Caenorhabditis elegans: one gene and its partner. The protein of the gene in region 1 interacts with the protein of each later gene in a biochemical or structural test. Each region holds a gene or a part of one and is shown on either strand. Other genes may lie near its edges. The genes, in order: npr-43 and nlp-17.

The links.
Region 2: the proteins of npr-43 (region 1) and nlp-17 interact in a test that uses a peptide from one of them, tested with the Caenorhabditis elegans proteins (one large-scale study listed by BioGRID).

The regions. Positions count from the first base shown.
Region 1 is NC_003283.11:14,375,292-14,380,977, forward strand, and holds npr-43 (G-protein coupled receptors family 1 profile domain-containing protein), read right to left. Parts: upstream 3,796-5,686; 5' UTR 3,776-3,795; coding exon 3,677-3,775; intron 2,769-3,676; coding exon 2,502-2,768; intron 2,453-2,501; coding exon 2,369-2,452; intron 2,321-2,368; coding exon 2,146-2,320; intron 1,934-2,145; coding exon 1,797-1,933; intron 1,750-1,796; coding exon 1,517-1,749; intron 1,145-1,516; coding exon 986-1,144; intron 936-985; coding exon 848-935; 3' UTR 705-847; downstream 1-704. Other genes in the region: Homeobox protein unc-39, read left to right, coding at 284-508.
Region 2 is NC_003282.8:13,504,450-13,507,600, forward strand, and holds nlp-17 (Neuropeptide-Like Protein), read right to left. Parts: upstream 1,294-3,151; 5' UTR 1,262-1,293; coding exon 1,182-1,261; intron 1,123-1,181; coding exon 951-1,122; 3' UTR 821-950; downstream 1-820. Other genes in the region: seld-1 (putative selenide, water dikinase), read left to right, coding at 1,630-1,810, 2,253-2,506, 3,105-3,151.

The DNA of each region.
Region 1 (5,686 bases):
TTTCCAACAATGATTGTAAAAAGGAATGCGTGAAAAGACAGTTGCCGACTAGTCGCAACTGAGCAGACGGCTTCTCCGAAAGAATTTGTTTATAAGATCTGCAAGGTCAAATTGTAAGGATCATAAATTATCTGTTTCATTTTATTGTCAAATTTCGAGTAGAAGATTAGTGTGATTACAAGGATTCTATGGTAGAACAAACTAAAATAGGATCTGAAAAAGCCGGAGCGTAAATTAGTACATGGTAAAGTAATCTCGAACAAATTTCAATTTTATTTTTCAGATTTCAAATTGGTTCAAAAACCGTCGCCAACGGGACAAATCGAACAATTCAGCCAAATGCTCCCCACCTTCCAGCTCGAGCAGCACTAATGGTGGCAGTGACTTTCTTCCAATAATAACTCCGCAAAGCTTTAACTTGGCAGCTGCTCCATTCAATATGAACATGATCTATGGTACATTACGTGACAGTCAGTCTGATAATGATCAATTCACTTTCAATCCGTAATTTTTTTTAAAATAAAAGTAAAGTATTTACCCATTGTATATTTGAAATGCTTTAAAAGTGCAAAAAGAATAAACTGTTATTTTTAGAAGTTTGCCAGGCTATAATTTTTTTTTTGATATTTAAATCTGAATTCAAGAATCTGGAAAAATATCAGAATTTCAAGGTTTCTTGCAAGGTTTTTTGAAACACTGAAAAAATAAAAACAAATTTATTGAAACAAAAAACCGTAGCACATATTGCGGACATAAATAAATAGAGACAAAATGCAAGATCACAAATAACCCCGAAACAAAATATATTAGAACTTCGTAGATGTCGGATATTGGCATACTATATAATCTATCCAGTAAGTGAAGTGCTCAAAATCTCCTTCGCCTCCTTCTTCACAATTCGACACCGAATCCTTCGTTCCAGCCATCTGAAACACCTCAAAATCGGAGGATTTTTTAGAATCTCGGAGCTCAATGATACACTCACTTTTCGAATCGAACTTTGCCGAAATAGGCCAATGTGTTGGTTGCCGAGTTGAGAATGACAAGGAAGTCTGAGATTCGCGTGACTTTTGTCATGAATGGGCCGAAGTTTATACTGTTTTCAATGAGAACCTCGTAGAGATCAATCAATGTTGGCAGGGATCTGAAAATTGAAAATTTGAGCTACCAAGTTTTTATGTTATGTAACAAAATAATTAGTACTGTCTTGGCATTTGGCGATGATTTCTTGCTCAAGGTAAACACTTGGCATGACGTTTTTTGACCGCACTTCAAGTTCAGCCCAGGCTTGATTCAACTCTTGGCAATGCTTTCTAGGTTTAAACAACACAGAATAGTTCGGACAAAATATTGGAAATAGTTGGATCATATTTGAGTTAAACATAGAGTATGGTCTAAACAACGCACAGTTTCTACATCTCTTGCAAAAGCTTTGCCACCTTTTGAACCAAGTTCCCACTTTTGGGATCAAACTTGGAGTGGCCAAAAAAAGTTTGAAGTTCTAGCCTATACTCACCTCAAAATCAGAAATTTGACAACAATGAACACAGCTAACGCCTTCGATGCTTTATCCTTCAATTCCTCCGTCACCAGTGTGTTTCTACTTCTCTTCTGACTCTCAAAAAGCCTCCTCCGTTCCTTGACATTCTGATGCATTTTGTATTCAGTGAACAATGACAGCGTGGAGATGAAAAGCATTGGTCCCAATGTCTCTGTTGTCATGGTAAGGGCAACTTTGAATTGAAAATACTGAAACAATGGGATTTATAGAATAGAGTGAATAGATGGTTACGTACCCAATAAGAATCTCCTCTGAGTTGTGTCATCTGGAGCATTTTTGATTCAGTCTGATGAACTTCATCAAAGCATGTAATAAGGTTGAATTCAAAGTAGGAAGTGCTATGAATGACGAAGCAGAGGATTACCAGAAGGACTGAAAGTATTAAGTTCAATATTCAGAGAGAACAGAAATTTTAGTGAATTTTGTGAAATTATTTCAAAAATAATGTATTTTAAACTATCAATTAAGTATGCAACACTAGTTATTATGACGAAGAGTGGTCTAAAATTCGGGATTCTCCTTTTTGAATAATTCACTTTTCATTCCTTTTCCGAAACTTTCAAATTGTTGCCCTTTTCACATACTTGGAACTAGAAATGGTCTGAAGAATCTTCTGAAATTTGCTCCTCTTTTTCCAGCATTGCTTCTGGTGTGAAATTCATAGAACATTTCGGCTGGAAATGAAATTGTGAACTTTGCCGACTCTGTGGAAGATGGCTGAGCAGCTGTGCTCATTTTGCTTGCAGATATTGATTTTCTCTAAAAAATATGATTCCTTAAATTTGAAAACAAAATGTGTGTCACTACCGATCTTCCATAATGTGATGCAAATTTGAGTGGATTGTTGACAACTCTGTATCGGATGTATGTGATGTAGCAAACTAGCATCGGCTGAAAAATAAATCAAAAATTATTAAATTTCCTTTTAAATTTTGCATACCGATGACATGGCAAAGCTATTCCGTATTCCATACAGAATAAGAATCATATCCTGATGTTGGTAGAAGATATTGGTACGAAATAGGAGAATACTAAGAGGTTCAATGCTTAGGAAAAGAACGGTAGTCATCGTAAGCATAAAATCCATGAGACACAAAGTATATAAAGCTGCTGACATTCTTCTATTCAAGTGCCCATTTCGAAGGAATCCAATAGCATAGACAGTGCCAATGGCAGAGAAAATTGCAGCGGATATTGTGACGGGGCCCTGAAGAAATATAATGTATTTTTTGAATTAGTTCAAGCATTTTCTGAAAAGTATAGTACCACTGATTTCCGACGTCACATATCAATCCCTGGTTAGTTTTTTATTGTTCGAAGTCCCTAAAAAGCGTTTCCCCTAATCCGAAAGTCGTCAATTCTTTTCCAGAAACATCTATAGCTTTAGAAGGATTAAAACTTTTCCAAATTTAGACAGTCTAGAAAAAATTTGCAATATTAGTCGGCTGGAGGAACACAACATCATAATCTCCTGATCTAATGAGATTAAGGATAGAGGGAAATAAAAAATGATGACTGTTAAAAATAATGAATCAAATAAATGTATGTTTTGATGACGATCGAGAATTCTAGAGTCCAGTAACCAGAATTAGTCCAAAACCAGAATTATGAAATTTAAAAGTTTAAAATTTAAAGATTTCCGAAAAGTTAATGATTTCAAAAAAAAATCAAAGTTTGAAAATCAAAGAAAAATGAACCTTTCTAGTTCTATGGTATTTTAGAGTAACCACCAATTTTGAAACTAAAGTTCAAATAATTTTACATCAACAAGTACGACATATTGCTCAAAATATCAGAAATTGAATTGTCAGGTGCACTTAATTATACCCCAATGTTTGGTGGTTCTATAGTCTGAGCCTGCCTGCCTGCCTACCGCGATCAAATTTTTTATTGTCGAGTTACGCTACGGCAGCAGCCGGGAATTTTCCGGAATCGACCACCAAATATCCTATGCAATTTTGAAAGTTTACCAAAATTATTTTTTCAAATAATTTGTTTTTGAAAAAAACTAAAAGTGGCCCAAGCTAATTTTCTTTTTTTTTTAAATCTACACAACAAATACACATGTAAGTAAAAATATGTGTTAATTCAAAGAAATTTTACATATAAACTCACATCGAGCCATAATGTAAACTGTGGAGAATCATCTGATGCTCTGTATTGACATGAATAAAGTTTTGTAAACACCGTCCAATTATCATCTGTTTCATTCATTTGTGTATTGGACCTGAAAAGTCTAGTTAGAAATTGGCTTCAGGGACAGGTAAAGGGTACTACAAGGTAAATCACGTTGAAACGTTCAGAAATTCATGGGATATGTACATTGGTGGGGGAGACCGCGAAATGAGAGATTGAAGCACAAAAATTGAATGGCCCGAAAAATCAGAAGAAGAAGAAGACTGACAACAGTGAAATTTCATTGAAATGTTGCTTTTTTTCAGAAAGTTTGCGTAGCCATTTCCACGCTTCACATACATATAATGACAGATATATGAAGTGAAAAGAGTGGAAAATATCGAGAACAATTGTCACGTTCTGAAGAAAAGAAGAAAAGAAGGAAAAAGAAAATGATGAATAGGACGTCGGAAGCTGTTATGCATATAAAATTAAGAATAACGAAATGATAAATGAGGTAGAAAACTGTTGGAAAAGGGGCGGGCAGTTATTAGAGTGCATTTGTTGGAAGAAAAGTTGGAAGAAATCAAGAAATCAATCAACAGGCGGAGAATCTGAAGGTCTATCCGAGAGAGACATGTTTTTTTGGTTCTGAGACAACAATTTTCAATTGGTTGGGTTTATGGTTAGTCCAACTTAACTGTAATCAGAAAACTTTTGTGTCCTTTGACCTACAGAAGTAGAGGGTACGTAGAAAAATACGTGTGACATCACACTAATTCAAAGGATGAAACTTTCTTAATAAAAGTGAACTGCAAAGTCAGCGCAAAGTCGTATCGCCTCGAACTTGTGGAAAACTGCTGATGAGACAAGTGTTTTTATAAAGTTTTAGATCTGTAAGGCCTGGTGTGTGGCGGAGCCCGTAATTTCCAGGCCTAGAATCTCGATTTCTAAAAAATTTAACACCGTTAAAACCAGACTCAAAAAAAAACTTCCTTTTTTTTAAATAACCAGCTAAAATATTATAAGGATTACTGAAAGTATCATCCCAACGCCTTCACTAATAACATCAAATGTTCTCTGTCGGGATGAGCGCAGTAAACCAGACAAGATTGAAAAATAGAAGAACCAGAACCGGTGTGGATAAAAGAAAAACAAGATATGTATGTTTTTGTCATGAAAAGAAAGAAGAAAGTGTTCCTAAAATCCAGATTTCTATTGGAAAAACTGAACCCAGAACAACTACTATTTTGTTTTGAAACACGCGAATTGTGAAAAATTAATATGTTCTTCACCCTTCAACTGGAAAATTTCCAATTCCTTTTAGGCCTTCAAAGAAGTTCCAGGAAATTTATATGTAGGGTTCAACATCAATGAGCAGCTGAAGTTGAGCACGAGAATTATTTGAAATTATACCTTTTAAAAGTACACGTAACAGTCTATGCGGAAAGACAATTATCACCTGCCGATCAAATATTGAAAGACTTATAGTTCCGGAATAGAAGGTTCTTGTGGTGTTTGTACATTATTTTTTTTAGGAGAAATTCAATCAAGTCACACTGGCCCAAAATAGCTGGAAGAAAAATTCTGCAAGCTAATGAAAACCGCCGAAAGTATTTGTTTTAATCAAAACGCTTAATAATGTGCACATAAAGAACGTCCATGGCGACCCACTTGATCTCCAGGACTACAAGTCAGCTACATGTATGATTAATGAAGCCTCAAAACAAATCGCCTGAAACTTTTTGATCGAACGAGGGTGGAAAGTCTGTTAAGTCTTTTTTTGAACTCTTGAAATTGTAGCTTTTATTTTAGTTTTTTGGATTTTATGACAAATTTCTTAATCATTAGATCTCACTAGCACTCAATTCTAAATTTAGGCTTCTACACAAAGGTATGTAGGCACAAAATACTTAGCAGCCTTCAAGACCTACGCTTAATCCCTATTCAACCGATGAGATTGCACATATTTCTGAAAACGCGACCATGTTTACTATGTGAAGTCTAATT
Region 2 (3,151 bases), on another chromosome or scaffold:
CTTTGTGAAGTTTTTTTTTGTAAATTCGATGAAAATCGAACGTTCCTTATGAAGGCACCCTTAAAGAATACAAGCTGGAGTAAAACCAGTGAGAAAAGCGGGGGTGTTCAAGTGCGCTCCGCTGGCCGGAGTGATTCCAGGTGTGCAATTCCGTTAGCGTAATTTTTTTAAATTTATAAATAACCATTTATAGCTTCCGGTCAGGTTCTTTCTCATTAAAACCACCACATTTTTGGTAAAGATTTTTATTTTAAAATAAACAAAAAATTCCCTTTTTAGAATTCAATTTTCCGATTTTTCAAAAAAGAAACCACCGAAAAAATCGGGTTGTCCCATTACGGTTTGATCTACAAAAAATGCGGGAATTTTTTGCCAAAAAATGTGACGTCAGCACTTTCTTAACCATGCGAAATCAGTTGAGAACTCTGCGTCTCTTCTCCCGCATTTTTTGTAGATCAACGTAGATCAAAGCGAAATAAGGCACTCTGGCACCACGTGGTGTGGCAAATGAAAATTTTTGGAAATTTGGCAATTATCAAGCTCGAAATTTATGGGAAAAATTCCCGAAAAATGAGAAAAAACAACATTTCTGAATACTGTAGAAATGATTTTTTTTTTCGGGGATTAAATAAAACGTTTTCCCCCGAGTGTCCCATTACGGTGTGATCTAAAAAAAATGCGGGAAACAAGACGCAGAGTTTCGAACTGTTGTCGCACGGCTAAGAAAAATTCCCGCATTTTTTGTAGATCAAGGCAGCCTGGCACCACGTGCTATCTGTGAGAAATTCTGCAATATCATTCACCCTTAAAAATAGAATTTAACAAATGAATTCATTCATCAAACGATTGAGAAATAATGAATAACGAGAGAATGGACCAGTTTATAAGAGAGAGAAAAACGAAACGAAATGCAAATTTAAACAAATTCAAATTCAAATAATCGTTATCATTTATCTCCGTCCAATTCTCATAAGTGTTCCCAAATTACAGCTCTCACACGGCACAACACCTTCATTTGGAAATTGTACGTATTCCTGTTGTCGAGACATTTGTCGCTTTCCGATTCTCATCATGTTTGACAAACTACCACGTTTAAGGGCTTGGAATGGGGGACGCATTACACTAAAAAAAAGAATGGAAATTAGAGATTCTCGAGTTTCACGTAAAAAAGTAAAACTTACTCCTGATCATTTTCAAAGTTAGCTCCAAAAACATTGAATACCAAAACCAAAAGGCAGAAGAGAATTGACTTGCTGAACATATTTTCTGTGAAAAAGCCTGACTTTTTCGCGAGAAAAAAGTCTCGAAATGTCGATTTAAATGGCTCATCTCACTATTTATATTTCAATTATAGCGAGCTATCAAGGCTATTAAGTGAGACGAGTAATTATATCTAGAGTTATTATATAGCTTTTCTAATTAAGTGCGACTCAAAAACTCAAAAACGTCACCCCCTCATCCATTCCCGTAATAACCTAGATAAATAAATAAATAATAAGTTTTTGAGATAATAGGCTGCGAAAAAACATATAGATTAGGAAAACTTTTGAAACATCAAAGTTTTTTTTTCCGTTCATCGTTCACCTTTTGGAATTTTGCACAGAAAATCGTTTTGAAAATATATTTTAGATGAATCGAATCGAGAGAATTTTGGAGGGATTCGATCCGGTGAGCAATGGACTTGATGAAGATTTTGTGCTCACAAAGTTGACTGGAATGAAGGGTTGTGGGTGTAAAGTTCCAAGGAATGTGCTCCTTCAATTGCTCCAAACTTTTAAAACTGATTTAGTCATTAATAATGATGAAGTTGGTGAGTTTAATTGAAAAATTGCTCAAAACAGGAAGCTCATCCAACAGAAAAAATTCAAATTTCGTTTTGAACTTTGAAAATCAAAACAGAATGTACATTTATTACGGGAACATAAAATTCCAAGAATGCGTACTGCACAACATATTTGACGCACAAAATATCTCGTAGCGAAAACTACAGTAACTATTTAAATGAACTACTGTAGCGCTTGTGTGTCGATTCACGGGCTCGATTTTTAGAATGAATGCCCGTAAATCGACACACAAGCGCTACAGTAGTCATTTAAATAGTTAATGTAGTTTCCGCTACGAGATATTTTGCGCGTCGAATATATTGTGCAGTACGCATTCTCAGAATTTTGTGTTTCCATAATATCTGATATTCAGAAATGCCTTCTATTCTATTTAAATAATTTTTTTTTTAAACTCAAATTCCCTTCCAGACATTGGTCTCGATAGTTGCGTAATTCCACTCCGTCATCCGGGTCTTCGACTCGTACAAACCACTGATTTCTTCTATCCACTCATTGATGATCCATATATTATGGGACGTGTAACATGTGCCAATGTATTGTCTGATTTGTATGCAATGGGAGTTTCCGAGTGTGATAATATGCTTATGCTGCTCGCAGTGGCTATTGATTTGAACGAGAAGCAGAGAGATATTGTCGTTCCGTTGTTTATTCAGGGATTCAAGGTAGTTTTCAGTTGAGATTGTTATGGAGACGCAGAAAAATTATTCGCGATTTGAAATAGATCAAAACATCCCACCCCCAAAAAGTTGGGTCTCGTTAGGTATTCACGTGTATCTGGCTAGACCCCCCTCTCCAAAATTTTGCAAAAGGGCGGGAAAAAATATTTGAAATCGCAAGAGGAATTTTCACGCAGCGCGTTGAAATAGTGTATGCATTTGCGCGTGACGGTGTTTGCACAAAATACACCGAGGGGTCGAGCCAGAACACGGCCCGAGAAGTGGTACCTGTACGCAATTTGTCTACCGTACACCTGGACGTTTGGGCGCGTTTTTCTCAAAAACGACTGGTCCAGTTTTTTTGTGATGCATATAAAAAATGTTCGAAATTAAATTCAAAATTTTTTGGACCAAAGCTTTTTTCCTTAAAACGCGCCCAAACCTGGCTAAACTGCAATTATCAGTAGAGCGCGTTTACACTGATGTACCCTTTGCCGGGCCGTGCAGAAACCCGTGGGTATTTGGCGACAAAATCCTAAATTCAAACGTTTCGAGCATTAAATTTTCTGCCAAAAACAAATACGAAAAACTTCAAAAATTCCAGGATGCAGCTGACGAAGCAGGCACAAAGATCCGTGGTGGCCAAACAGT